Linked DNA regions of Canis lupus familiaris. The protein of the gene in region 6 interacts with the protein of the main gene of each other region in a biochemical or structural test. Links are inferred from orthologs where the notes say so. Each region holds a gene or a part of one and is shown on either strand. Other genes may lie near its edges.

What was found.
Region 1: the proteins of RB1 (region 6) and MCM7 form a complex in vitro, tested with the Homo sapiens proteins (2 studies listed by BioGRID). The link is inferred for Canis lupus familiaris from reciprocal best matches to the Homo sapiens genes RB1 and MCM7.
Region 2: of the proteins of RB1 (region 6) and CCNE1, one has a biochemical effect on the other in vitro, tested with the Homo sapiens proteins (9 studies listed by BioGRID). The link is inferred for Canis lupus familiaris from reciprocal best matches to the Homo sapiens genes RB1 and CCNE1.
Region 3: the proteins of RB1 (region 6) and USP4 form a complex in vitro, tested with the Homo sapiens proteins (2 studies listed by BioGRID). The link is inferred for Canis lupus familiaris from reciprocal best matches to the Homo sapiens genes RB1 and USP4.
Region 4: of the proteins of RB1 (region 6) and CASP7, one has a biochemical effect on the other in vitro, tested with the Homo sapiens proteins (2 studies listed by BioGRID). The link is inferred for Canis lupus familiaris from reciprocal best matches to the Homo sapiens genes RB1 and CASP7.
Region 5: the proteins of RB1 (region 6) and MRPS18B form a complex in vitro, tested with the Homo sapiens proteins (2 studies listed by BioGRID and IntAct). The link is inferred for Canis lupus familiaris from reciprocal best matches to the Homo sapiens genes RB1 and MRPS18B.
Region 7: the proteins of RB1 (region 6) and UBTF form a complex in vitro, tested with the Homo sapiens proteins (2 studies listed by BioGRID). The link is inferred for Canis lupus familiaris from reciprocal best matches to the Homo sapiens genes RB1 and UBTF.

What each region holds. Positions count from the first base shown.
Region 1 is NC_049227.1:9,437,535-9,441,564, forward strand, and holds the start of MCM7 (DNA replication licensing factor MCM7), read left to right. Parts: upstream 1-1,230; 5' UTR 1,231-1,357; coding exon 1,358-1,388; intron 1,389-1,832; exon of another isoform or gene 1,833-1,912; intron 1,913-2,200; exon of another isoform or gene 2,201-2,224; intron 2,225-2,234; exon of another isoform or gene 2,235-2,377; intron 2,378-2,482; coding exon 2,483-2,562; intron 2,563-2,855; coding exon 2,856-3,020; intron 3,021-3,195; coding exon 3,196-3,320; intron 3,321-3,406; coding exon 3,407-3,587; intron 3,588-3,891; coding exon 3,892-4,029; intron 4,030-4,030. Other genes in the region: AP4M1 (AP-4 complex subunit mu-1), read right to left, coding at 52-148, 228-334, 677-765, 862-919. UniProt on the Homo sapiens protein: Acts as a component of the MCM2-7 complex (MCM complex) which is the replicative helicase essential for 'once per cell cycle' DNA replication initiation and elongation in eukaryotic cells.
Region 2 is NC_049222.1:122,576,746-122,580,850, reverse strand, and holds the start of CCNE1 (G1/S-specific cyclin-E1), read left to right. Parts: upstream 1-1,305; 5' UTR 1,306-1,378; intron 1,379-2,512; exon of another isoform or gene 2,513-2,529; intron 2,530-2,852; 5' UTR 2,853-2,885; coding exon 2,886-2,908; intron 2,909-2,996; coding exon 2,997-3,084; intron 3,085-3,291; coding exon 3,292-3,360; intron 3,361-4,105. UniProt on the Homo sapiens protein: Essential for the control of the cell cycle at the G1/S (start) transition.
Region 3 is NC_049241.1:40,305,720-40,309,749, forward strand, and holds the start of USP4 (ubiquitin carboxyl-terminal hydrolase 4), read left to right. Parts: upstream 1-1,230; 5' UTR 1,231-1,287; coding exon 1,288-1,388; intron 1,389-4,030.
Region 4 is NC_049249.1:24,916,752-24,920,251, reverse strand, and holds part of CASP7 (caspase-7), read right to left. Parts: intron 868-3,500; coding exon 731-867; intron 273-730; coding exon 144-272; intron 1-143. UniProt on the Homo sapiens protein: Thiol protease involved in different programmed cell death processes, such as apoptosis, pyroptosis or granzyme-mediated programmed cell death, by proteolytically cleaving target proteins.
Region 5 is NC_049233.1:573,446-577,713, forward strand, and holds the start of MRPS18B (28S ribosomal protein S18b, mitochondrial), read left to right. Parts: upstream 1-1,468; 5' UTR 1,469-1,547; coding exon 1,548-1,625; intron 1,626-2,702; coding exon 2,703-2,811; intron 2,812-2,910; coding exon 2,911-3,008; intron 3,009-3,135; coding exon 3,136-3,204; intron 3,205-4,268.
Region 6 is NC_049243.1:3,108,227-3,111,726, reverse strand, and holds part of RB1 (retinoblastoma-associated protein), read left to right. Parts: intron 1-1,762; coding exon 1,763-1,879; intron 1,880-3,154; coding exon 3,155-3,211; intron 3,212-3,298; coding exon 3,299-3,330; intron 3,331-3,412; coding exon 3,413-3,489; intron 3,490-3,500. UniProt on the Homo sapiens protein: Tumor suppressor that is a key regulator of the G1/S transition of the cell cycle. The hypophosphorylated form binds transcription regulators of the E2F family, preventing transcription of E2F-responsive genes.
Region 7 is NC_049230.1:19,050,645-19,054,783, forward strand, and holds the start of UBTF (nucleolar transcription factor 1), read left to right. Parts: upstream 1-1,339; 5' UTR 1,340-1,743; intron 1,744-2,050; exon of another isoform or gene 2,051-2,208; intron 2,209-3,437; exon of another isoform or gene 3,438-3,569; intron 3,570-3,923; exon of another isoform or gene 3,924-4,048; intron 4,049-4,139. UniProt on the Homo sapiens protein: Recognizes the ribosomal RNA gene promoter and activates transcription mediated by RNA polymerase I (Pol I) through cooperative interactions with the transcription factor SL1/TIF-IB complex.

The DNA.
Region 1 (4,030 bases), on a different chromosome or scaffold from region 6:
AGCCCACATTTGCAGGGCACTGGGCACTTGGGGGAGACCCCTGGCCCTCACCAGCACTTCATCCAGGAGTTCGTAGACAAGAGCCACGTTTCGGGAGATGGTCCCCTCACTCAAGGAGCCACAGTAGTCGCCCAGGAGAGTGGCCAACCTGAGAAAACAGGGCTGTGTGTGCATACCCTTCTACGGTCGTATCCCCGCGCCCAGGTGCCCAGCCCTGCCCTCCTCACCGGGAGAGCAGCTCTAGAAGGCTGAAGGGAGAAATGTTTTCTGAAGTCGTGGCTACCAAATAGAGGCCGCTGTGTCTGATGTGAATGAAATGACGGTCATCGTGGTGCTGAGGCGGAGGCGAGGAAGAGAGCGTTAGGAAGACATGTGATTAAGGACCCGCGAGACTTGCTAGCGGTGGGCCTTGGGGCGAGCCAGGCACCTCGCCCCCGCCCCGGGACCCAGCTGCCTAATGTGGAAGTGGAAGTGGCCCTGGTACCTACCCCGGACTGGCGGAGCTGCGCCCCGTAGAGTGTTAGCGCTCCAGAAACTGTCGCTCGGATTACTTGGCAGAACGTACCCCCCGCCCCGCCCGCGCCCCCCAGCGGCAGCTCTCAGGGAAACGGTCCTGGGAGGAAGGAGGCGCCCCCCAGCCCTCCGGGAGCCTACCCCAAGCCCCGCCGCAGGTTACCATGACAACCGGGGACTCATCTCCGGGCAGTCCCGTCAGCTTCCGGTAGAAGAGCTCGGCCACATCCCGACCGCCACTGTCCCCGCGGACTGACCGGGTGGAAGGACAGCTAAGGAGTCGGCGACACGGGCGGGCTCTAGGGCACTACTCCCACCCAGGCCTCCCGCCCCGCAGGTCAAGGATACAATCCTTGTAGATGAGCGGGTCCCCTTTGGAAGACAGAATGAAGAACTGGGAGATCATGGTGGTTGGAGAGTCCGCAAGGAGACAGCGAAACTTGGGCCTGCCCCGCCCTGCGGCCCCGGAACAAAAGGACGCGCGTAGGCTGGTCCTTTAAGAGCAATTTCTCTCGGTCCGAGCCAGCTCGGACCGCGGGAAACCCGGCGCCCGCCCCGCCCGCCCCGCCCCGCCCCGCCTCGCCTCTCCGCAGCTCGGGTGCCCGCGCCGCTGCCCCGTCACTCAGTCCAGACTCGCCTGGTGATTGGCCGAAGCTATGGCCTGCGGGAGAGTGGGAGGGGCGAAGGGCCTCCTCTTTGATAGGCCCGCACGCGGCGGCGCCCGTCACGTGGGGGGCGACGTTTCGCGCCAATTTCGGTTGGTCGGCAGGAGCCCGCCGCGCGGACGCTTTCTGCTGTCCTGGGAGTGAGCGCCTTGAGCCCGCCAGCTGCTGCCGCACGGGCGATGGCAGTTAAAGACTACGTGCTCGAGAAAGGTGAGGATATGCAAACTTGGGAGGAGCGGCCTGCGCGGGAAGCCTGCGGTCCAACACCTGTTGGCGTGAGCCGGCGTCCTGGGGCCCCGGGGCGCGCGGCCAGAGGCAGGGTCGAGAGGCTGCAGGGCAGAGGCAGACGGTGCGTGGGAGGCGCGCGGGCCGCGGAAGTCGAAGAGCCAGTCATGCCTGGGGAAGGAGTGGCGGGTCGCGGTGGGCGGGGGAGGGTCGCGCCCAGGAGAGACCGGGACCTCAGGAGACCCAAAGGGCTTTCCGCCCCCAAGGACAAGGACCCCGGGTCCCCCCTCCCTGCGCACCCTTAGACATTCGGAGCGCCCGCGCCCTCTCGAGACGCGCCGGAGTCCCGGGGGCGGGCGGGCCCCGGCCGCTGAGTGCCGGGATTGGCCATTTTAGGCCAACCTCTAAGCGGAAGTGAAGGCGGGCGGAAGTTGCGCGACGTCGCTGGAGGGAGTGTCGTCTGTAAACAGTGTCCTTCCGCGCCGCGGCCTCGGAAAGAGCTGCTCAGGGTGGGGGCGTGCCTGAAACTGGGGGGCTTCGCGGGAGGCCGAGAAAGGAGGTGGTCGGGTGGGACGGAGTGGCCCTTGACGAGCCGGCCAATCGCCGGACGGGCTCCCGCCCTGGGCGGAGGAATCCCGGGCTGTGAGGCGGCTGCATCTGGGCCCATGTGCTTCTTTGTTTACTAAGAGCGGAAGCAGTGGCGGGAGAGGGGGTGGGGTGCAGGCTGGGCCTAGTGGAGAGACTGAGGAGACCGAAGAAAAAGAGGAATCTCAACGCGTGGAAGAAAAACTGAGAACCTTGAGCTCAGAGCGTGTGGCGGGGTGTGAAAGGCCTTTGGGAACGAGTACTGAGATTTGTAACCAGGGGAGACACTGGGATTCCCTGGGGGAAGGTTGTTGGGTAAAGCTCCTGACTGCCCGGGGCCCCTTCTCTAGGTGAGAATAGACCTGTTAGAAGGAGTTCTGCTCTACTTGGTAAGAATTACGAAGTAAAAGCGAGTTTTTTAAAGAAGCGTATCAAGGGGTTTTGTGGTAAAGTATCTGAAAGACTCATTCTCATGATTTACGTTTTCCTTGCAGAAAAGGTTAAGAAATTCCTACAAGAGTTTTATCAGGATGATGAATTTGGCAAGAAGCAGTTCAAGTACGGGAACCAGTTGGTGAGTCATAGAAAAAGTGGAGGGAATGGGTGGTTGCTTAAGGAGCTGTAAGAGGTGGCCTGGCTTGCTTCAGTAAGTGTACATGTAGGTAACAGCTTCAGTGTGATTCTTAATATTTAGTAAGTGGAAGTCATTCTGTGTGGGTAATGAGCAGTGTGCTCTTTAGAAGTTAGAGGGCTGTCTTTGGGGGGCTGAGAAGTGAGTATTGCTTTGTCTCATGCTTCTTTCTACCCTTGTGGGTGGGGGACACTGCTGACCATGGTGTACACAGCTCTGTCTCGTCCTTACCCCAGGTTCAACTGGCTCATCGGGAACAAGTGGCAATGTACATAGACCTAGATGATGTAGCTGAGGATGACCCTGAGTTGGTGGACTCCATCTGTGAGAATGCCAGACGCTACACCAGGCTCTTTGCTGATGCTGTACAAGAGCTGCTGCCTCAGTACAAGGAGAGGGAGGTGAGTGGTTGCAGGACAACACAGGGCAACACAGGTTGCTTTCCAGAAGCTTCTCAGATGCTGGTTTTTCAGAGTTGGCAGAAAGGGGGCAGTAATTTCTGCCTGGTTCCCTTTGTGGTCTTTCGTTCTCTAGTCCTGCCACACGTTTTTTCTTCTATCTTTCTTTTCTCTTGAGGTGGTAAACAAAGATGTTCTGGATGTTTACATTGAACATCGGCTGATGATGGAACAGCGGAGCCGCGACCCTGGGGCAGCCCGAAGCCCGCAGAACCAGTACCCTCCCGAACTCATGCGCAGATTGTGAGTGGTCTCAGCGAGGAAGGCTGTGGAAGCTTGTGCAAGCTTGTGCTTCAGAACCTTTGTAATGACTCTTTTCTCTCCCTTAGTGAGCTCTACTTTCAAGGCCCAAGCAGTAACAAGCCTCGTGTGATCCGGGAAGTACGGGCTGACTCTGTGGGGAAATTGGTCACCGTACGTGGAATTGTCACTCGTGTCTCCGAAGTCAAACCCAGGATGGTGGTGGCCACTTACACTTGTGACCAGTGTGGAGCAGAGACCTACCAGCCGGTATGTAGGGAGCAAGGAATAGGAACATATTTAATTGTTAGTGGTTTGCCCCAGAATTACTTTTAACTCCTGGTAGTTATCTGTTGTTTGCTGTGTTCGTTATGAAACACAACTGTGTGTTTACTTATCATTGTTTTTCTGGTCCGTAGTGGTCTTTCCATCGTCCTTTATGGGTTTTTGGTTCCTATGCTTATTGACTCAGGACAGGTCAAAACGTTGGCAGTGTGCGATGTGTGCTATGGGGAAGAGGAAATGTTGACTCAGGTGACGGACTCATGGCTTTTTGCTTTTTCTTGCATTCTAGATCCAGTCTCCTACTTTCATGCCTCTGATCATGTGCCCCAGCCAGGAGTGCCAGACCAATCGCTCAGGAGGGCGGCTGTATCTGCAGACACGTGGTTCCAAATTCATCAAATTCCAAGAGATGAAGATGCAGGAACATG
Region 2 (4,105 bases), on a different chromosome or scaffold from region 6:
CTCCCGGTTATTAACCCCACCCCAGGAGTAACTGCTGGTTTCACACTGTCGCTATAGTTCTGCCTTTTCTGAGACTTCAAATAAATGGAATCACACAGTAATACTTTTCTGTGTCTGGCTTCTCGTGCTCACGGTTACGTCTGTGAGATTTCTTTCTTTTTTTTTTTTTTTTTTTTGTGAGATTTCTTCATGTTGCTGAATGCCCCAGTGGTCTGTCCTTTTTACTGCTGTGCAGTATTCCACTGAATGAATATACCACATTTCTGTGTCGACCATATTGTTGATGAGCGCGTCAGCTAGGAAAAAGAACATCTGGAACTCTCATTCTCGCTAGTGGGACAGTAAGTTGCTACCATCACTAAGGAAAAGTCTGTGTCTATCATCGATAACAATGATATATATTGATATCTGTAATACTAACATATGTTGTATTTATCATTGTCCTATATCTCTCATTTACTAAGCACTGAGTGTGCACCAAGCCCTGTAAGCTGTGTTACCCCAATCCTCATAATCACCCTAAGAAGTAGATAGTTGCCTTCTTTGAAATAGCAGTATGGTAGCAGCAACATGATGGGATTATCATGAAGTTGAACACTCTGACGGACTGAGTCCAAAGCTGACGTTTTGGAAATGCTGTTCGTGGTACCTCTTATTGTTATTACTGAAGGACACCGGGCCAGGAGCTCAGGAGCCTGCATTCATGTCTCCCTGAGATAACCTGAGTGAGTCATCTCAGCAGCCTTCAGCTCCAGGCCCCTGGAAGGCCGACATCTGCTAGCAGGGACTTCCGGGGATGACACAGGGCACACTCTTCAATCAGACCCAGGCTCTCACTTCAAGAAGATCCTTATGCTTGGGGGGGGGGGGGGGGGGGGGGGGCGGAACAGTGCATCAGGAAGGGTCTTGGGAGTGTTTGGGAGCCCTCTGCGACATGGGGACCTGCGACATGGGGACCTGCCGCTTCTGCCAAGTTTAGTTCACAAGGTACTTTCAGGTGATGGTCTCGTTGTCCTGGAAGGTCCACAAGGACTTGGCGGCTGTATGCTTCTCAACAACTCACCCACAGAGATGAGCAAGTGTCTCCCTCCCCCACCCGCACCCCCACCCGCACCCGCACCCCGGGACTCTGCCAAGAGCTGGGGGCTGCAGCCCGGAACTCCCGGGAGGGAGAGGGACAGCGAGCGACCAGGGAAACCCAGGAGCACGAGGCTTCTGGCGGCAAGTTGGGTGAAGGACACACAGCGGGGCAGGAGGTGGAGAGGAAGTGCGGGGGGCGGGGTGCTCCAGACTCCGTGTTCACCGGAGACCCTGAAGTTCTAGGGAGGGAAGAGCAGCCCCGAGGGCGAGTGCGCAGCGCAGGGCAGCTCCCGCCGAGGTGAGGGAGGACGTGGGGGAGGACGTGGGGCAGCGGCTGCGAGGGCACCGGGTGGGGCGGGGGTCCGCGGGCGACGGAGCTCCAGGGGAGCCCTGCAGCCCGGCCCGGGAGCCCGACGGGAGCCACCGGGAGGGCTTTCAGCCAGAGGGGCGGCCCGGGCCCCGAGGCCCCAGCCGCGGAGGTGGCGGGAGGGGCCCACGGGGGAGGCGCCGGGAGGTCAGCTCAACGAGTGGCTGCAGGGCGAATGCGCGCTCGGAAGGGCGGGCGGGCGCGCGCAGGGCAGCCGGCGCCCCACGGACGCCCCGGACCCGCGGCTGCCGGCCCAGGTCGTAGGCCCGCGACCAGGCGCGGTGACCTTGGGCACAGGCCCGCCCCGGCTCCCGGCCCGGAACCCTGCGTCTCGGGGGCGGGGAGGACGTGCCGGGAGGGGCAGCGCGCGCGGCGGGGCGACGGCCGGCGGGACCCCCGCTCCCCGCTCCCCGCCAGCCCCCGCGGCCCGGCCCGCACCCTGCCGCGCGCCGTGTTTACATCCCCGCGGGCCGGCCACGCGGCCTCCCGCCGCCCCCGCCGCCCCCCGAGCCCCGGCCCCGGCCCCGGCCCCGCCCCCCGCCGCGCGCGCGCCAGCCGGCCTCCCGCGTCCCGCGCCGCGCCGCACCTCGCGCCGCGCAGGCCCCGTGGCTTGGCCCCGCCCCGCAGGCCCCGCCCCGCCCCGCAGGCCCCGCCCCGGCCCTCCGGCGCGCAGGCCCAGTCCGCTGGCCCCGCCCTGCAGGCCCCTGCCCCCGCAGGCCCCGCCCCCGCAGGCCCCGCCCCCCCGTCCGTAGCGCCTCTGCCCGTCTGCGCGCGTCGGCGGCCTGCAGGCGGCTTCGGGGCCGGGCCCGGGCACTGGGGCGCGGCCGCTGGAGGGCCCTCGGACCGACCGGGGCGGGGCGGAGGCTGGGCGGGAGGGTGCGAGGGCGGGCCGGGGGCCGGTTTCCGGCGCGCAGGGATTTTTAATGTCGCCGCTCTCGGCCGGGCGCGGAGCAGCCGGATCGGCGCCCGCGCGGTGTAGGGGGCAGCGCGGATCCCGCCCCGCCGCGCGCTCGTCGCCGCTCCCGCCTCCCGCCTCCCGCGCCGCCTCCCGCCGCCCGCCGCCCGCCTGCGGACAGGGCTCGGTGATGGCCGGGCCGTGCTCCGGGGCTCCGTGGGGGGGGGGCGAGCCGGGCCAGGGCGCGGCGGGGTCGCGGGGTGGCTCCGGGCCGGGCCGGGGGGCGGCGGGGCGGGGGGCGGCGGGGCCCCGGGCGCGCGGCGGACCCGGCGCGGCGGGTGACAGGCCCCCCGGGCCCATCGGCCATTTTCCCGGCCGGCCCGAGCCTCCCGCCGCCGCCGCCGCCGCCCGCGCGGGGGGAGGGGTGTCCGGGGCGCGCGGCCGGCCCTGCCCCCCCCCGCGCCCGCGCCCCCGCCCGCGCCCTGACCCCCGCCCGGCTTGTGCCCCCAGGGCCCGAGGTCGGCCCCGCGTGCCGCGCCAGCCATGCCGAGGGAGAGGAGGGAGAGGTGAGTGCCCCGTGGCTGCGCGGCGGGGGGAGGGGAGCCCAGGCTGCCAGCGCCCGCCCTGACCTCGGTGCCACCCGGCGGCCCGCAGGGATGCGCAGGACCGGGACCCCATGAAGGACGACGCTGGCACCGACGTGTCCGTGCGCTCCAGGAAGAGGAAGGCAAATGTGGCCGTTGTGAGTACAAAGGAGACAGGTGGGGGAGGAGACCCCCTCCCGGGCCTTACCTGGCGGGGCTCCCCCCCCCACCCCGGGGGCCCTGCCTCCTTGTACTGATTGGGGTGCCCGCAGCCTAACCACCTTTCTCTCTCTCCTCTCTCTGTGTTTTTTGTCTTTGGGCCGTCTGGTGTGTTTCCTTGGGGGCTGGGGGTCGCCCTCCCTTAGTTTTTGCAGGATCCGGATGAAGAAGTTGCAAAAATTGACAGGACTGCGAGAGGCCAGTGCGGCGGACAGGTAGGTTCACGTGCCCACCGGGCCTGGGCGGAGGGCCTGCTGCGCCTTGTGCTTTAGATGGACGCTCGGTCCCCGCTGCCTCCTGCTGGAGCCGTTCCTCTACCGGGGGCCATGGTGCTCATCCATGGGCCGAGGCCTGGCCGGTCGGTGGCATTGGCCTCGGCCAGCCGTGGGACCCCAGGAAGGCGTTGGGTTCCTCACCCGCACCTCCGAGGTTACAGATAACGCGCTGATGTCCCGAAGAACCAGAGTGGACATCAAATAACTCAGTCCTCTCCTTTTGCCCTTGAGGAAACTCAGACTCAGGGCAAGAAAGTGACCCAGAGTCCTGTGCAAGCCAAGGGCGGAGTCCATCCCGGAGCCCTGTCTCCAGGCGGGGGAACTGGGGGAGGGCTCCTGACACAGAGCTCTCCTGCGACTGTGATGCGGGGGTTTGTGTGTGTCCATAGCGACCCAGATTCTCCCCGTCCCCGCTTCTGTCTTTCGGTCCTGGTGCTAAGGACCTCCCTTCCCCCCACCACACGGTGAGCAGCAGGTATGTAACTTCCCCCCTTCTGGAGGTCCTCAGCCTGTCCTGCAGTTACCTACGGTGATGAGGACTGCCGTCCGGGGCTCTGCCTGGCCTCAGCCAGAGTATCAGTGGAACATTCTCTGTCACGATACCTGTGTCTCAACACATTTTTTAAATTGACTAGTCCATTTCTCTTGTCTCTCCGTCATGGAGTTGCCGCCAAATTTCCTGCGT
Region 3 (4,030 bases), on a different chromosome or scaffold from region 6:
CTACCAAGTCAAACTTGCCCTTTCACAACTCTAGGGGTCTACAGTCTTTGGTTCATACCCTTTCATGGCACTTACCTATACCATACAGTGCTTGATGCTGGGGTTATTTACGGAAGATCTCTTCTCCATTAGTTTGAAATCAGGCACTGTGACATTTTTTGGGGCAGGAACTGCTAGAAAATGAATGGTGACTCATCAAGGCCAGCTGCCCGGTCTCCCTGCTCTGGGCTTACTTCCCACTCCATGAGGCGAGCTGTGCTTTTTGTATGCAGGGCTGAGTGGAAGACACATAGTGTTCAGGATACTGAATCTTGTTGCAGCAACAAATTATTATTATCATTACTTTTAAAGATTTTAATTATTTATTCATGAGAGACAGAGAAGCAGAGACACAGGCAGAGGGAGAAGCAGGCTCCATGCAGGGAGCCCGTTGAGGGACTCGATCCTCAGACTCCAGGATCACGCCCTGGGCCAAAGGCAGGTGCCAAACCACTGGACCACCCAGGCGTCCCTGTAGCAACAAATTAAGCAGCAACTTGGGCACCTAATGTGGAGAACACACCCAGATCTCTCCTTCTAACCTCGCTGCTATCGCCACTCAGCGGCTGCTTGTTTCCCTGACAAGGCAAGCAGCTAGCTGTGTGGAGGGCTTGGGTTATTCGGTCGTGGGCCATGATTCTTGCGTCTAGACTGTTTGAAAGGAGTGTTAATGACTAGATTAGACCGTCGAGTCCCGGTCCCAAGGCGCAGGTATACCTGCACTCTCCAATATCCCTGCAGGGCTTCCAGGACCGGCACCCGGATCCCCCGTTTGGAAGGCTAAGGACTGGCCTAAGATCTCCAGCTCAAAGCAAGAAAAGCTAGTTCCAGGGCTTCTCGCAACTGGCCCTGGGTTGATCTAGAAAGCAGGCTAACACCGTGGGCCTGGACGGGGTGCCTGAGGGGTCAAGGGGACTACGGTCAGGTGCCTAGAGATCGCCGGGCTCGACGAAGGGATGCAAGTCAGCCCACCTCGCGGCCCCCAGGGCGGCAGAAAGGGCCCGCACGTTTGCCAGTACCCACCTCCTCCTCCGGCCCCCTCCCGGCTCCGCCCCGCACGGGTGGGGAAGGGCCGCACGTGATAGGGAGAAAAGGCAGAAACAGGCGAGCGGACATTCGAGGCCGCGGCGCTAGGTGGGGCTTGGGTACGCGCGCGCATGCGTGCGTGCGTGCGTGCGTGGGCGTGGCCCACAGCACGCCGTGCGCGAGGCGGATGTCCGGGCCGGCTGGGCCGGGGCGGCTGACGAGATGGCGGAAGGTGGAGGGTACCGTGAGCGGCCTGATGCGGAGACCCAGAAATCCGAGCTCGGGGCCTTGATGAGGACCACGCTCCAACGAGGGGCGCAGTGGTGAGCACCGGGCCAGCCTTTCCGCCGCCCAGACCCAGAGGCAGGGGCTCTGGTCCTTAGGCCAGACCTCTCTTTCCCGGCTTGGATAGGGGCCGGGTGGGGGCGGTGTTAGTGACCCTGAGAGGGTGTCCTGAACCTTGTCTCTCAGAAGAGGACCCGTAGAAGCACCTCAGGGAAAGTGTGAGGGTTATCCTTGCCCTTTCGGAGCCCCAGAGGGCGGACCCGGTGGGGGGTAGGGGCTACAGGGTGGGGGAAGGGGCGTGCTCACGGGGACCTTCAGGATGGGAAGAGCCCCTTACCTTCGAGGACTCTCTGTGTGACCTTGAGGGAAGGCGACCACACCTCCCAGACCTCGGTACCTTACTATTAAAGCCAGGGTAACAGTATTTGGCATCCCCACGTTATGGGTTGAGAAGAACATCAGAAGTAGATACTTTTGTAACTTGTAAATTCTCGAACAGATGTCAAGGTTAGAAGTTGAACAAATGTTTGAAAGCTCCGGGTTACTTTGGTAGCAAGTGTCAAAAATAATTGTGGCAGCAGCGTTTCAGTGTGGGGGAGGAGGATAACTTAGAGCCTAGATAAGAAGGTGAAAAGTCCATGGTTTAGAAGAGCAAATCTGAGACAGTAGGCTTCTTAATAAATTAGTAGAAAGGACAGTTCTTCCACTAGTGAAGAGATTCCTGGGTGGTATTATTGTGTGGGAGTAGAAAGCTAAGGCTTAGATTTGCATCGAATATGATTGAACATCGAATCTTTAAGAAATTAGGTGGTGTTTATGCTACTTAAGGTAATTGAGCAGGAAAGGGAAACATTTGGATTAGGAGGAATTCAGATAGGGCTGTACAGCAGGGCAAGCAGAAGTTATCCTGCTTCGGAGTGATAGATGAAGAATATGTGGCAAGATCAGAGAGAGGATGTTTCAGATAGTCTAAGGTCACACTAAAAGTGTTTGGAGAGTATTGTTCAAGGGGTTTAGAGGGAGGAACACCTGGGTGTTTCAGCGGTTGAGCATCTGCCTTCGGCTCAGGGTGAGATCCTGTAGACACGGGATGGAGTCCCACATCAGGCTCCGTGCAGGGAGCCTGCTTCTCCCTCTGCCAGTGTCTTTGCCTCTCTTTCTCTGTCTCTCACGAATAAATGAAATCTTAAAAAAAAAAAAAAAAAAAGTGGGAGGGGGGTTTTGGAGGGAAAAGAGCATTTTTTAAAAAAGATTTTATTTATTTCTTAGAGCGAGGCAGAGACACAGGCAGAGAAGCAGGCTCCGCCCACACAGGGAGCCTGATGTAGGACTCGATTCCAGATCCCAGGATCATGCCCTGAACCAAAGGCAGATGCTCAATCACTGAGCCACCTAGGTGTCCAGGAAAGGAGCATTTTAAAGATTTGGGTGTATATATAGATCCTTGTGGCTTTTGGGAAGCTACCTGATCATTCAGGTTTGTTTTTTATAAAACCTAAAGGACTTTGGGATACCTGAGTGGCTCAATCAGTTTTAAGCGCCTTGCTTCACCTTGGGTCATGATCCTGGGGTCCTGGGATTATCCCTGCATCAGGCTCCCTGTTCAGCAGGGGGTCTGCCTCTCCCTCTTCCCCTCCCCCTGCTTGTGAACTCTCAAGTGCTCTCTCTTAAATGAATAGATAGACAAAATCTTTAAAAAAAAAAAAACAAAAAACCTTGAAGGATTCACCAATATGATTGTTGTGCTTCCCCCCCCCCACAAAGATTTACTCCTCCTCTCTTAATTGTAAAACATCATAGTGATACTTTTTAAAAATTTTTTCATAGTGATACTTTTAAAAGTTAACTTGTCTGTCCTAGACAAGAACTTCTATAAAGATCATTTGAAAAAAAAAAAAAGATCATTTGAAATTACTGAATTACTCATTAGTGAACAGGAATTTACTCATAGGAGGACTTCATTTAAATAAGCTTGAATCCAAAAATAAATAAATAAATAAATAAATAAATAAGCTTGAATCCAATAATTTCCTTTCATTTATTTATTCATTTATTTATTTATTCTTTTTTTTTTTTTTTTTTTTTTTTAAGTAGATTCCATACCCAGTTGTAGAGTGCTGTGTAGGGCTTGAACTCACAACTCTGAGATCAGGACTTGATTTGAGACCAATAATTGGATGCTTAAGCAACTGAGCCACCCGAGCACCTCTCATTCTTTTCTTTTTCTTTCTTTCTTTTTTTTTTTTTTTTTTTAAAGACTTTATTTATTCATGAGACAGAGAGAGAGGCAGGTTCCATGCAGGAAGTCTGACGTGACTCGATCCCAGGTTTCCAGGATCACACCCTGGCCTGAAGGCAGTATAAACCGCTGAGCCACTTGGGCTGCCTGAGAGTGTTTTTATTTTTTTTATTTTTTATTTATTTAAAAAAAATTTTTTTTTTTTTAAATTTATTTATGATAGTCACAGAGAGAGAGAGAGAGAGAGAGGCAGAGACACAGGCAGAGGGAGAAGCAGGCTCCATGCACCGGGAGCCTGATGTGGGATTCGATCCCGGGTCTCCAGGATCGCGCCCTGGGCCAAAGGCAGGCGCCAAACCACTGCGCCACCCAGGGATCCCGAGAGTGTGTTTTTAAATGGGAATTGTGTGTTCTCCAGGTGGAAAGACCATAAAAAATTTA
Region 4 (3,500 bases), on a different chromosome or scaffold from region 6:
GTAACCCTAAGGAAGGCAAGGGTGCCCAGGCGGAAATCGCTCCATCCCACAGAGGCACCCTCCCAAGAGGGGCATGCTGCTCCGTCCCGGAGCAGGGAGGAGGTGGGAGGGTGGGAGGCGGGGAGACATACACACACACACACCTTTCTTTAGCAGATCTTGCATCTTGGCACAAGAACAGTCATTATAGATGACCACATCAAAACCCAGGTTTCTGAAGCACTTGAAAAGAGCCTCGGCATCTTTGTCCGTTCCATTTCGGACGCCCATCCCTGTGGGAAGGAAGCGCAGGATGAGCCATCCCTGGTTGAGACCTGCCTGCCAGCAGCATCTGGTCAAGGCACTAAGTGTAGCCTTACGGGCTCTGGTGTAAATGCTCCCCCGAGGTCACTGTGTGCATGAGCAACTGAAATAAGAAGCAAACTCAAAGGAGAAGGTCATCCAGCCTGCCCACAGAAGGTGAGCCTCGTCACAGCAACCCTCTACTCCCAGCAAGGCCAAACAGCTCCCCTTGATTCTTAGCCCTTTGTTCACATCCCCCATCACCTCATGCACCAGGTGGGACCTTAGACTTGAAGCTCCCGATGTCCCTCATGCCTTCTTCCCGGGCCATGAACAGCATCAGGCAGGGTGTTGCCTGCCACAGCAGGTGGGCACAACCCTTCTCTAAGTGAAGTCTGATACAAGCTGAAGGCAACGGGAAAGGTTAGCCCTGGCCCACAACATTTACCTGTTGTTTTGTCGAAGTTCTTGTTGTTTATGATGATGCATTTGCCCACCTTCTCAAAATTCATGTTATACTGGTATGTAGGCACTTGGTCCTGGGCAGTCTTGATTGATCTCCCGGAGTCATTTTTCTTCTTCCTACTTGGAAAATATAAAGCGAGTCAGGGGCCGTGGAGGATGTCTGGACACAAATGGCCTCTGGATTCCACTGCTAGCATGGCAGGGGTGCCCAGGAAAGCTGTACCACCTGTGAGGAAAGGCCCCAGGTGGGCAGATGGCTCCATTTAATTGGTCATATTTGAAATGAACAGGATCTCCTGCCTTGTTTTACTGGATGCCAGAGAGAGTGTGATCCTGGGGCATACTGGCTGGGATGGCTACAACGTGTTTGTAACACTTGGAGCTGTTTATAGCACCTGGAGCTATGTCATTCCTTGCTGGTGGGAACCTACTTTTTACCTCCATTGTTGAAAACTCGCAGAATCTACCCAAACTGAATTTAAACACAGCCCGTGGCACAGCAGTTTAGGGTGCAGGGATGCACTGCTGGGCGCATGCATAGATCGGGTGCATCCCTGCATCCTAAAGTTGATCAAACACAAAAAGGGAAACTGATCTACACATGTGCCCAGCAGTGCTGTTCAGCAAGGGCCCCAAGCAGCAAATAATTCAAATGTCATTTACAGTGTCATGGATAAACTGCTGAATATGCATATGATGAAATAGCATATAACAGTAATAGTGACCAAACCACGACAATACGAAGCCCCATCAATGAATCTCATGACTATCATATTGGATAAAAGAATTCATAGTCAGAACACTGACACCTCATATGAGAAGTGGTTACTTTAAAAGGGGGAAGAATGGAAGAGCAATTTAAAAAAGAAAGTCATCCCCTTCCAATCTCCAGACGCTGGCCATCCAGCTTACCAGAAGCCTGGCATGGAGGCTGGAACACGCAACATCATTGAGCAGACACAGAAAAAAATGTCAGAATGTGAGCTGAAAGCAGCTGTGCTGGTCATCCAGGGGAATGTAAACTCCATGAGAGAAAAGATTTTTCTCTCTGTTCTGAAAAATTGCTGACTCCCCAATCCCTAGAACAATGCTTGGCACATAAGTTGCTCAATAAATATTTTTTATAAACTACAGACCAATATTCCTTATGAATAATAGATGTAAAATTTAAAAAAAAATTTGAGAGAGAGAGAGTGAGCATGTGAGTGGGGAGGGGCAGAGGGAGAAGGAGAGAATCTTAAGCAGGTTCCATGATCAGCATGGAGCTGGACACAGGGCTTGATCTCACCACCCTGAGATCAGGACCTGAGCCAAAATCAAGAGTTGGATGCCCAACCGACTGAGCCATCCAGCTGTTCCTGGATATAAACATTAAGAAAACATTAGCAAGCCTAATCTGGCAATCTCCGAGTAGGATTATTCACCATCACCAAGTGTGACCAATCCCAGTAATTCAAGGTTAGTTTAACATCCAAAAATCAATTAATGTAATCCATCATATTACTAGACAAAGATAAAGGACAAAAACCACCTAAACAGCTCCACCGATGCAGAAAAAACTGACAAAATCCAATACTCTATTATGATAAAAATGCTAAGTAAACTAGCATTACAATGGGACTAACGCAACCTGAAAAGGGTAACTATGAAAAACTCACAGATATCATACTTAGTGAGGAGGCATTGAATGCTTTCCCTCTAAGGTCAAAAACAAGTCAAATATGTCTACTCTTGCCACTTCTGTTAAATACCGTACAAGAGGTTCCAGTCAGGGGAATTAGAGGTAAAAAGAGGTGTTCTATGAATGAATGCATCAAGTGCATTGCCTCATTTTACAGTTATGGAAACAGGTCCACAGGGGGGCAGGGGTTGTTCAAGGTCGGCCAGGTAGTGATGAGCAAAGACCACCACATTGGCCCCAGGTGATATCAGCATCTCACGTCAGTGCTCCAGAGCCCCACACCTAGAGCATTTGTCAGAAGACTAGTCCAGCATGATGCCAAAATTTTGGTCAAACATTGGGAGGAGAAGGTGAAAATAAAAACTCAGCTTGTTACCTGACAAATGTGGGCATTTCATTCTGAGTTTCACTGAATCTCACCTGTAGTAGTTTCTCAAAATCTCTGGAAGGACATGGCCTTTGCTGTTACCCCTCCTACCTGGGTCTAGATTACAAAGTGACTCTGTGTGTCCAATCTCCAGATTGCTTATTGCTTTTCTTCAACTGTAACCCCACTCTATCCTCCACTTTTACAAGACCAACATCCTTCTGTAATATCACCGGATTTTTAAAAGAGAAATAGCCTCAATTTGTTCCACTTTCTCTGGACTCTTCCTCCCTACATTTTCTTTCCCCAGGAAGGCAGCACAAACAAGCACTGGACTGGGACTCAGATATCTGCCCATGAGACCCTTCACAGAGCACTGACCTCCTTGGAGGTCCTAGAAAACAGAGCCTTCTGTGACCGTCACAGAAGAATATGGCCAATTTCATGGGCAGTAATACTCTTGTAGAGTCTTTTCCCTCTCCTGGGCCTCCATAAAAGCTCAGAGGGGACAAATATTGGTAAAGTGAGCTTCTGTAGCATTCAAGGATATGCCATGTGGGGGTTGGGGGGGTGACTAGGATTTACTTCTGAATTCCCTGTCAATAACCCATACTGACAGTGTCCTCTGTGCATGTGGAAAATTATCTGCAGGTACTCTTTTTTTTTTTTTTTAAAGATTTTATTTATTTATTCATGAGAGAGAGA
Region 5 (4,268 bases), on a different chromosome or scaffold from region 6:
GTTTAGACCAAAGGCCCCTTTTTAATGGAGATTAAGTGACCGGCTTGGTCCTTCTCCAGTTCTCTATTTTGTTCTATTGGCTCATTTCTTCCTCTCATTATTTTTGGTTTCACAACGGGAAACGTTGAGTTCTTGTTGCAAGGCTGGTTTTGGAAAATTCGACACTTACTATCCAATTTTTTTGCGACGTCAGCACCTCGGGCTCAGGGGGGGAGGGGGTTAAAATTTTGGAGAAAAAAAACAAAACAACCAACCAGGACCCAAAACTCAATTATTTGGGGGGCCTCATTGGATCAAAAAGTCTCGTAAAAAATTGAAGGCCAACTCAGTATTCATTTTCCCCCCACCCAACTCCATTTAGGGAGGGGGGGTCGTAGAAAAAAAGTTCTGGGTGGATTCAAAAAAGTAAACGCTGGATGAGTGGATTTGGGTGGGTTTGGGAAGGGTGGGTGGTTGATTATTTTTGAAGTTATGTGGTGACGGTCCTTCGGCCACAGATTTCAAGTCCCATGCAGCGTGGGCTGGTGGGGTGGGCAAGACAGGTGGGAAGGGGCAGAAGACACAAGTGGTTGGGCTGGTGGCTGCTGTTTTCCCTTTCCCCCCTCAGGATCCTCTCAAGGGCTTAGATGGTGCTGCGGCTTGTTTCTTTTTTCCTCGTGACCGGCCTGTCTTTCTCCGAGAAAATTCAAACCTGGGATAAAAGGAACACAAGGGAGAAAGATACAATCAACACGGGTTGCTTTAAACACGCACAAGTACCATGATTGTTGTCGTCAAACACCTCCAGGTCCCAACGAGAACACAGCCGCGTTCCATAAGCCATGGTCCTCAAAACAACCCATGCCTAACCCCCTCCCCAGTCCAACAAGCTCAACAATACTTTACCCTCCAACCGACAGGATACCCAAACTTACCTCTAAACGAACCCCAGAATGGCGCCTGTCTGCTCGGGCGGTGTCTTTTATACCCGGACGCCGCCCAACGCGCCCAAACATGCTAGTGAAACGCCCTTGTCGCGAGACATTGTGCGCGAGGCGTGAATTCATTGGCCAACCCGAAAGACAACTCGCTAGCTGATTGGGTAGCCTTCCTTCACCTTCGCTCAGCCCCTTCCCCCTCGGTACTTTCTTCCGCCTCCTTCCTGGCCCCCCCGACAAGCGCGTGACCGGGGAGCCTAGCACCTCCCTTTCCTCTGTTTCCACCACTTCCGTCCTCGAGAACAGTTCTCACCCTGGTTGGTAGAACCGGGCCGGCGCATGCGCAGTGAGAAGATGTCCCTCGAAATCTCCCTCAAAATTGCTTAAAACGCAAGCAGTAAGTATAAGATCTAGAAGTCGTACTGACTGGCTCAGGAAAAACGCAATTTTGAGGCCAAATTCGATTGTGACGCAGTAGAAATTGACTTCTCCACACGGCCCCCCTTTTACGCTTCCGTCCTGACGCAAGTGCGCGGCCGCCTCCCGCACTGCGGGCTCGCCCTCGCCCCTATCCTAGTCAGTGTCTTGGAGCATGCGCAGTCGCCTTTCCGGGATTGGGCGTGCGTCAAGATGGCGGCCTCCGCATTGCGTTCGTGGCTGAGGCCCCTTCCTGGCCTTTCGCCCTTCAGAAGTGCCTACGGAGTTCAGGTAACTCCTTGGAGCACATCTTGTACAACCGCATCTTAGTTATACCTTGTCTAGGGCATCGCTCCTTTGCTGGGAATCCAGGAGCGGAATCTTTCCCAAGTGCTATTATGCCTTGGCTGTCTAGGCAGCAGTGCTCCCACCACCCTTCCCCTTCCCCTTGCTCTCAATACTGTGCGAATTTTTAATCGCCAGACGAGGGAAAAGAGCCTGGTTAGATACCATCCTTTTCCAGCGTACCAACTCGGCTAAAGCACCAGGTGAAGGATTGGGCCTCTTGGTCGTACAGTCAGCTCCTAAGCGTGCATGTGATGTCTAAACTTGTCATTCCCTGGAGTGCCCTTTTTGAGAAACACTAGCTTCTTCCTGCGGAGCGATCCGCGGATAAAGCCAGGATACGTTCTCACGACCTGGGGCCTACTTTCTTAGCTCTCTTTCTCTCACTCAATTACTTTGGGAGGGGGGGGTTCTGTTTTAGTTTTTGTTTTTCTTTTCCCTCTTCTCGGAGTATACATGAGGCCTTTACTTAGTCCTTTAGGTTGAGGTTTTCCCGCAGCCTCAAGTACTCACCACACTGAAGGTTCTTGGTGGGGCCAGGTGAGATAGGAAAACTTGCAAAGTTGGCACTTCCTAAAGTGGGACTGAAGAATGGTGACAGGGGTCACCACGGAATTAATGACAGGCCTGGTGGCTTTAAAGCTAGCGTTAGGACTCAAGTTTGTTCTGGCCTGTGGAATGTTGACCTTCAACTTCTGTAAAGGGGCAATTCAGTGATTCAGGATTGGGTTGAGTTGGAGACTCACCAATGAGCCTCTCCCCACCGGGCATGACTGCTTCCCAGTCATCTATCCTAGTTACCTTCTCACGTTAGGTTCTCCTTCAGGATCCAGAAGACAGAAGAGTGGTTGTTGATGTTACTTCTACCCTAACAAAAATTCTACTTTGTATATATATTGCCTCTATATTCTGTTAATACAATGAGCATGTATTCCTCTTCTCCCTAACATATGGGCAGTGAAACTATCCAGTCCTTTCCTTGAACTCATTTGCTCATTTTTTTTTTTTTTGCCTTCTTTATAGGTTCCCCTCCAGACTCTTTGCACCAAAGGCCCCCCTGAGGAAGATTCTTTGCCCCCAGTTCCCATAAGTCCTTATAAGAATGAACCGTGGAAATATCTGGACTCAGAAGGTACCTCTAAAATGGAAAGGGGAGAATCAAGGGGGTCTGAAATAAACAGAGACACTTCTGCTATCCCTACCAGGAATAATGTGTGGTCTTTCATTTCAGAATACCAGAATCGTTACAGTACTCGCCCTGTCTGGGCTGACTACCGTAGAAACCACAAAGGTGGAATACCCCCACAGCGGACTCGAAAGACATGTATTGTGAGTTTCTGAAGGTGGTACGTGGATGGGATGTGGAGGAGAGTGGAGGCCATAGTGACAGTGGCACCAGCACTTTTTCTCATAGGACTTTGAACATCTTTCACCTTCTAGTTTCTTCTCTCCACAGCGTAGAGATAAAGTTGCTGGGAATCCCTGCCCCATCTGCCGTGATCACAAGCTGCATGTCGACTTTAGGGTAAGGAGAATCTTCTCCAAGATAAGGACTTGGATTCTCTTTGTAGCGCTAGAGAGATTACCACGGGTGTCCCACTACAGTCCATTTGCATTCATTTTCTAGTAGTATGAAAACTTCTTTTCTAGTCTTTTATCTTGTACTGTGGTTCATACTAATAAAGCTTTATGTCTTTTTTTTTTTTTTTTATGAGAGACAGAGAGAGACAGACAGACAGACATAGGCAGAGGGAGAAGCAGGCTGCATGCAGGAAGGCCCGATGTGGGACTCGATCCTGGGTCCCCAGAATCATGCCCTGGGCTGAAGGCAGGCATAAACCACTGAGCCACCCAGGGATCCCCAAAAATGTCTATTTCTAATGGGAGAGCAGTACTCAAAGGTTCATTTATATCTTATATCCATCCCAATTTTTAGCAAGTAGTTTGGGCTAGTGTTTTTCTTTTTTCTTTCTTTCTTTCTTTTTTTTTTTTTTAAAGATTTTTTAAAAATCTTTATTTATTCATTTTTATTTATTTATTTTATTTTATTTTATTTATTCATGAGAGACACAGAGAGAGAGGCAGAGAGACAGAGGGAGAAGCAGGCTCCCCACAGGGAGCGCGATGCAGGACTGGATCCCAGGCCTAGTGTTTTTTGAGGTCGGTTTTGTTGTTTTTTGGGTTTTGTTGTGTTTTGTTTTTTGTTTGGGGTTTTTTGGTCATGTAACTATTTAATGGCATGCCAAGATTTAAGGCTGGAAGGCAGATACATGAAGCAAGATACAGAGTTTAATTGTTTTTCAGAAAGCCTTTATTGCAAGAACAGGACTTGCTCCTTAAAAAGTTCAGAAACTGGGATCCCTGGGTGGCGCAGCGGTTTGGCGCCTGCCTTTGGCCCAGGGCGCGATCCTGGAGACCCGGGATCGAGTCCCACATCGGGCTCCCGGTGCATGGAGCCTGCTTCTCCCTCTGCCTGTGTCTCTGCCTCTCTCTCTCTCTCTCTGTGACTATCATGAATAAATAAATAAAATCTTTAAAAAAAAAAAAAAAAAAAAGTTCAGAAACTGGGACACCTGGGTGGCACAGCGG
Region 6 (3,500 bases):
CAGAAATCTTCTTTATTTTGATGTAGTCCCAATTGTTTATTTTTGCTTTTGTTGCTTTTACTTTTGGTGTCAGATTCAGAATATCAGATCTTTAAGACTGATGTCAAGGAGCTTATCTCTTTTGTTTTTTTCTAGGAGTTTTATGGTTTCAGTGTCTTTAATCCACTTTGGGTCATGTTTTGTGTATTGTGTAAGATCGTGGTCAAGTTTTATTCTTTTTCATGTGGCTATCTACTTTATCCAGGGCTGTCTACTGAAAAGACTGTCCTTTCCCCATTGTATGTTCTTGCCTTTTTTGTCACAAATTTATTGACTATATACATGAGTTTATTTTTGGGTTCTCTGTTCTGTTCCACCAATCTTTGTGTCTGTTTTGTGCCAGTACCATACTGTTTCATTACTGTAGCTTTGTAATATAGTTTGAAATCAGGCCGTATGATGCCTCCAGCTTTGTCCTTTCTCAAGATTGCTTTGGCTATTGGGAATCTTTTGTTGCATACAAATTTTTGGATTGTTTGTTTTATTTCTGTGTAAAAGCCATTAGAATTTTGATAGGGATTGCATTGAATCTGTAGATTGCTTTGGGTAGTATGGACATTTTAACAATATTAATCCTTCCAATCCATGAGCATGGGATATCTTTGCATTTATTTCTGTCTTCTTCAGTTTCTTTCATCAATGTCTTATAGGTTTCCATGTATAGGTTTTTCACCTCCTTGCTTAAATTTATTCCTAGGTATTTTATTCTTTTAGATGCGATTATAAATGGGATTGCTTTCTTATTTTCTCTTTCTGTTAATTCATTATTTATGGATAGAAACTCACCTGATTTCTGTATATTGATTTTGTATCCTGCAACTTTACTGAATTTGTTTATTCTAACAGTTTTTTTGATGGAGTCTTTAGGGTTTTCTATGTATAATATCATGTGATAAGTTAGTAGACGTAGTTTTACTTCTTCCTTTCCAATTCGGATGCCTCTTAGTTTTCTTGCCAAATTGCTTTGGCTAGGACTTTTAATACTATGTTGAATAAAAGTGGGGAGAGTGGGCATCTTTGTCTTGTTTCTGATTTTAAAGGAAAACCTGTCAGCTTTTCACTGTTGAGTACAATGTTAGCTGTGGGCTTATCATATTTAGCCTTTATTATGTTGAAGTGTGCTCCCTCCTCTTCTATTTTTTGGAGGAGTTTGAGTTTTGGTATTAATTTTTTTAAATGTTTAGTAAATTCATCAGTGAAGCTGTCTGGATCTTGACTTTTGTTTTTTGGGATATTTTTGAGTATTCACTCAGTCTCCTTACTAGTCATCAATCCATTCATTTTTTCCATTTCTTCATGGTTCAGATTTGGTAGATAGTATGCTCCTAAGAATTTATCCTTTTTTTTTTAGGTTTTCCAGTTTGTTGGTGTATAGCTGTTCATAGTAGTCACTTACAATCCTTTGTATTTCCATGGTATCAGTTTGTAATGTCTATGAGGCTCTTTTTGGTGGGTGGAAGGGCTAACAAATCTGTTCTTTAAGTTAGCAGCAGAAAATTTAGATAAAAGGGATTTTTTTGTACTTTAATATTTTTTAGTCACTAACATCCTAAAATGGAATTCTTTATGTTCCTCTTATTTTCAGTAGTTGTTTTTACCTAGTTTTTGTGGAGGTGTTTCCACAGTATAATTGAAAGCGTAAAGTTATATCTTATAGGACAGAAAATGTTAATTCTGATTAAACGGTATCCTCAACATTGATTTATGTTTTTCCTCTTTAAAGAACTGCACAGTGAATCCAAAGGAAAGTATCCTGAAAAGAGTGAAGGATGTTGGATACATCTTTAAAGAGAAATTTGCTAAAGCTGTGGGACAGGGATGTATGGAAATTGGATCACAGGTAACTTGAGTTCAGTTTGATTACTGTCACTATTTTTTTTTTTTTTTTTTTTACTGTCACTATTTGATAAATAATTTAGAATGAAATATCTTTCCAAATTGTAAAAAAATATTATAATAGTATTTGTCCTATATTGGTAGATTCTGTATCTTGGCTGCCTGTGTATGCTGCTGTTTATGGAAAACTTTATTTTACAAAAAATGCCCCTTACACCATTACAGAAACCAAAAGTAAACATGTAGGCAGTTTTAGAAAAAAATGTAGAAATTTAAAAAATATCAGTACAAAAAAATTAAAATCTTTGATGCTATTAAATTTTTGGTATATATTCTTTGGCTTCTACATATATGAATATTTATGATGCATATACTTACATGAATGGGATCATATGCATGCTATTTCAGGGATACTATTGAATGAAATTAGTTTTATTATTACTGTTCTTATTTCACAAAGTCTAATACTAATATATTGGATAAAAGTATGGGCTCTGAATCAGAACCTTGGGTTTATATCTGGTTCTACCATTTATGAGCTTCATTTAACTTCTCTGAGATTCAATTTCTAAATTTGCTCTGCTTTGTTGTGTAGAATTAGGTAACATATAAAAACGTGTTGGAAAACTAATCTAGATACTTTATTTCAGTGTAGTGAAGTTATATTTTGATTTTGATAATATGTTTTAAATATTTTTAAGTCTTTTTTGGTTGTATATGAAATTTATGCTTATGATTTGAATGAAGGAATATGGTTTGTATGTATCTAAAATTTAGTTATTCTTTGAACTAATGAGAATTATTTATTTGATTAAAACTTTTTGCTGATAAGATCAGTTGGGTCTGATTTTTGCCTTTGCCAGTTTTATGGACAGGCTATTCTCAGTCTTGGGAGAGTTATCCTGAAAATACATGTCCTAGGCCACAAAGTATTACATTAGTATGTAAAATGGGTAAAATAGTACCAGATGTATAGCATATCCTCTGTGTGTGTGTGTGTGTGTGTGTGCGCGTGTGTATGTGTGTGTCTCTGCTGAATGATGTAGACCGAAGTGAAATTAAGGAAAACCAAGAACTGGACTTTCCTTCTTGATAATTTATTGGGAATGTTAACCACCATATTACATGGAAGTCTTGAGTTTTAGACAAGGTAGCTTTTGTGATCTCTTAGTGTTCATATTCCTAAGAAGTATCAGAAATGTATTTCAGGAGAAGCCTTCTTAAAAATTAATAATTATGGTTTTCTAAATTAGTGGAATCTAATTTTTTTCTTTTGTAGCGATACAAACTTGGAGTCCGATTGTATTATCGAGTAATGGAATCCATGCTTAAATCAGTAAGTTAAAAAGAACATAATAGAAAAAAAATTTAATGCTGACACAAAAAAGGCATCAGGTAAACTTTTTTTTTTTATCTGTTTTAGGAAGAAGAACGATTATCCATTCAAAATTTTAGGTAAATTCTTTAGTTTTAGTAAAATAGTTCCTTCTTTTTATAAAAGTAAATGTTTCAAAATCATTCTTTTCTTTTCCTTTAGCAAACTCCTGAATGACGACATCTTTCATATGTCTTTGTTGGCATGTGCTCTTGAGGTTGTAATGGCTACATATAGCAGTAAGTTAAAT
Region 7 (4,139 bases), on a different chromosome or scaffold from region 6:
CTTCATTAGCAACAAGGTCAACCGGCCTCTCCTACGTGCCCTGCCCACTCAAAAATCCGGTCACACCAGATCTTGACAAGGTTTTCCTCCCTGTTTGTAAGACGTGGCAGATGTGGGCTGTGGAAGTCCTGGGAAAGGAATCTCATTTCTCCCAGGAGACAAGAGGAATTACAGCGGCAGGGAGGCCGCTGAGTGAGGATGGAGAAGGCTGTGTGCCAGCGGAGAGTCCGGAGGGGCCGGCGCCCCGGCTGGCCGCGGTGCGGGCAGTCCGCAGAGTCGGTGCGGGAGGCGGGCAGCCCGGGAGCCCCGGAGCCCGGCGCGATGGCGCTGCGCGGGCAGCGGCGGCCCAGACCGCAGGCTCGCCTGTGGGAAGCGGGCGCTCTTCGTCTTCCGGCTCCCTGCGTCCTGACAACCCTGCTGCCTCGGAAGAGGGGAGGCAGAGACCGACGACCGCAGCCGGCAGCCCCGGGAGGGCGGATGGCGGTCCCCGCCCCGGCCTCTCGCCCCCGGAGCCGCAGGACGGCGGAGTGCCGCAGGCCCGGGCGAAGGCTGCCCCGCGGCGGCTCGGGCGGCGGGGCCCGGGTGCCAGGCTCCCCTCGCGGCTCCCCGCCGCCGCTGGGGGAAGGAGGGGGCCCAGCGCCCGCGGCCTGCTTTCCCAGGGCTGGCCGAGCCTTTTTGACAAGCTGATTGCATGGCGGGGATTGGCTGGTCCGGGCGTGACGCCGGTAACAACAAAGGTGGAGTTGGAAGAAATTAGATTAAAGGAGAGGAAAAAAAAAAAAAAAATTAAAGGGGGAGCTGGCAGGGGACTGGAGGCAGAGACCGAGGGGGAGATGCGCGAAGCGCGGTCTCCTGGCTCCCGCTTCGCCCCGGAAGCTCCTGGCGCAGACCCACCGGGATCACGCTCTCCGCCCCAACCCCGGCCCAACTACCGAAACCGGGGTGGGGGGTGGGGGGAGGCTACTGCTTCTTGAGAAATCCCCCTAATTCCCACCCTGACACCCCTTGCTACGGCCCAAGGGGAGAACTTTTTGATCGGACACCTCGGATCCTAAACCCGGAGGAGGTGAGGGGCGTTGAGAACAACGAGAGGCTCGCTCTAAAACCCGGAAGGCCCTCGCGGGGAGCCGAGATCCGGCGAGGCGGGGTGCTCCCCCGGTTTTTCAATGTGTTGCAAATCTAAGAGCTTCTTACTTTTTTTTTTTTGTAACCCCCCCCCCTCCTTTATCCCCCACCCCCTCGCTTTGGCTTCAGGGTTGCAAAAGCAAAGAGCAATAAAAAAAAAAAAAAAAAAAAAAAAAAGCCGCGCACACACTCAGACACACACCAGTGGCGACAGGGGAGAGTTGGAAAGACGCAGGAGAGAAGCAGGAGGCAGGAGGCAGCGGGGAGGGAGCAATGGGAGCGGGAAGCAGGCAGGTTCCCTCGCAAATCCCCCTCCGGCCCTACGTCGCTTCGCCGGCCCCGGCAGGGGAGCCAGGAACCGGGCTAGCAGATGGAGGAGTGGAGCTCGCTCTAGGCAGCGGGCTTGGCCGGAGAATGGAGGAGCCGCCAAGCGACCGGCTGATTGGAAGAGAAACGCAGAGCGATGGAGGCGGGGGTAGGAGGACGATTTCTCTGCGGGGACTGGCGGCGGCGTATACGCCCGGGTCGGGCGCTGCAGAGCTTGGCTAGCTTTCAACCCGCGCTCGCCGGCTCCAGCCCCGCGCGCCCCCACCCCCAGCCCTCCCGGCGGCTCCGCAGGTGAGTGCGAGCTGGGGGCAAAAAAAAACCCCAAAAGTCTCAACACGCCCGCCCTGCCCCCCCACCAAAAAAAAGAAAGAAAAGCATTTTTTTCTTTTTCTTTTTTTATTTTCGTGCAGCCCCCATCGCGGTGGGAGGGAAGGGGGTGAGGCTGAGTGGCCCGGAGGAGGCGGAGGGGCCAGGCGAGGCCGGGGTGGCCCGGGAGGCGGCGGCGCCGAGGCGGCTCTGACGGGCGAGCGCTCGGAGCGGCGCTGCGCTGCGCCGAGGCGGGCGGGCGGGCGGGCGGAGCGGGGCGGGCGGAGCGCGGCGCGTGGGGCTCGCCATTAGCCGTCGCTCCGCTTCGCCATCTCGGGCTTTGTCTGGCGACTCGCTGCCCCGGCGTCGGCTGCGGCGGAGCTGCGGCTCCGCTCTTCGGCCCGCCGCACCCCTAGGCGCCCCTGGCCCGCGCTCCCATTCACACGCTCGGTAAGTGAGCCCGGGCTCCGCGGATTTCGGGGGAGAGGGGTTGCTGCGAGTGGCGGCGGCGCCGATCTCCATGCGCCCGGGCAGGCCTGGGGAGCCATGCCGGGCTGGATTGAACCGGCTCCCAGAGCAGCTCCTCCGCCGGACCCCATCGCCCCCTCGCCGTTTCCGGGGTGTAAAGGAGCAAAGGGGACTTCTTTTTTTTTTTTTTTTAATTTGCAGGCAGGGCATTTTGTACGGTTTTTTTTTTTTTTTTTTTTTTTTTAAGTTTCGTGTGTGTGCTGTTCGGAAGCAAGGGGACCGCGAGGTAGGCGCCGAAGCCTGGCGCCGGGATGGGCGTGCGTGCGCCCCAAGCCGGTGGCCACGCTCCGGGGATGAGGGTGGGCGCGGAGCGCCCGCTCCAGGAGGCGGGAGAAGGGAGCGGGTGAGGACTGCCGTGGAAACCCGAATCTTAGCTGGGAGGACTTGGGGGAGAGCTCCGAAGCAGGGCTGCGGGCACCCCCTCAGCCTCCCCGGCCGCCGGGGGGCCCTCCGGGCACCGTCTCTGGCGGCCGCGCCTCGCGCCCTCCCTCCCGCGCCGGCCGAGCCTGCTAGTTCCCCCGCGGGTCTGGCGAGGTCGCTCTCGGCGCCCGCCCGCCCGCCTCGGCTCCGAGCCCCGCCGCCATCCGGGCGGCTGCGTGTCTCCCTGCCCCGGCCCCCCCTCCCCGGCAGCAGCAGCAGCCGCCGCCGCCGCCGCCGCCGCCGCCACCGCCGCCACCACCACCACCACCACCACTACCACCACCCCCCTCCCCTCCTTCCTTCCCTCCGCCTCGGCCGCCCGGGTCCCCCCAGCTCCCGCCCCTCCTCCCAGCTGCCCCCCGCGGAGCCCGCCCGGGCAGGCTGTGGGAGGGAGCGGAGCCGGCGAGGCGGGCGGGCTGGCGCTCGCTCCCCGGGGGTCGGTGTGCGCTCTACGGGGAAGGACGCGCTCGCTGCCCCGCTTCTCCCGCCCCCCCTCCCGCTCCTCCTCCTCCCTTCTCCCTCCTCCTCCCCGCTCCGGCGGCGGAGGCTGCGGCGGCGGCGGGGGGTGTGCGAGCTGAGGCCGGGGCCGGCGGGCGGGCGGCGGGCGGGCTGCCTGCAGGCGGAGGGCGCTGTGCTTTGTGCTTTTCGCCGCGAGGAGCAGCAGGCAGCAGCAGCCACAGCCGCCGCCGCCGCCACAGCAGCAGCCGCCGCCCCAGCGCCGCCGCCGCCGCGCCCGGAGGAGGAGCCGCTGCCGCCGCGGGAGGGAGCTGCGGCTGTGCCCGGCCGAGCGGGGGAGGGCGCCGCCGCTCAGAGCCGGGGAGGGAGCCGCCGGAGCGGGAAGCCCGGAGGCCGCGCTGCGCCGGGTAACCGAGGCGGCTGAGGACGCGCGCCGGGGTCGGGGCCGGGCGGCGGGGAGCGAACCGCGGGTGCCGTAGACGCCGGGGGAGACCCGGGCCGCCCTCCAGGCAGGGGACTGGACGAAAGAGGATCAGGGCATTGGAGAGGACGCCGAGAGCCGGGGGAGGGGAGGGCAGGAAGCGAGGCCCGAGCCGAGCCCCGGCCGCGGGCACAGGAGCCCGCGCTTCTCCGAGCCGGCAGGCGCAGTTCTCGCCGGCCGCCGGAGGGGGCGGCGGGGCCGGTGAGCGCTGCGCCCCCGCCTCCCGGCCGCCGTCCTCCCGCCCTCTCCTTGGCTCAGCTCCCCGGAGGCCGGGGCGGGGGCGCCGGCGGGGCTGGGCCGCAAGCTCGGGGGAGGAGGCGGCGGTTCCCGCCGTGGTCGCGCCTCTGCGGCGGGCTCCTCCGTGTGCGTCGGGGTGGCTGGGCGGTGGCGGCGCCTCCGGCCGGGGTGGGTGGCTCGGGGGCGGGGGGCAGGCTAGGCCGCTTCTCTCCGGCTGCTCACCCGCCCAGGCGGGCGGGGACGGCGTCGGGAGCCCGAG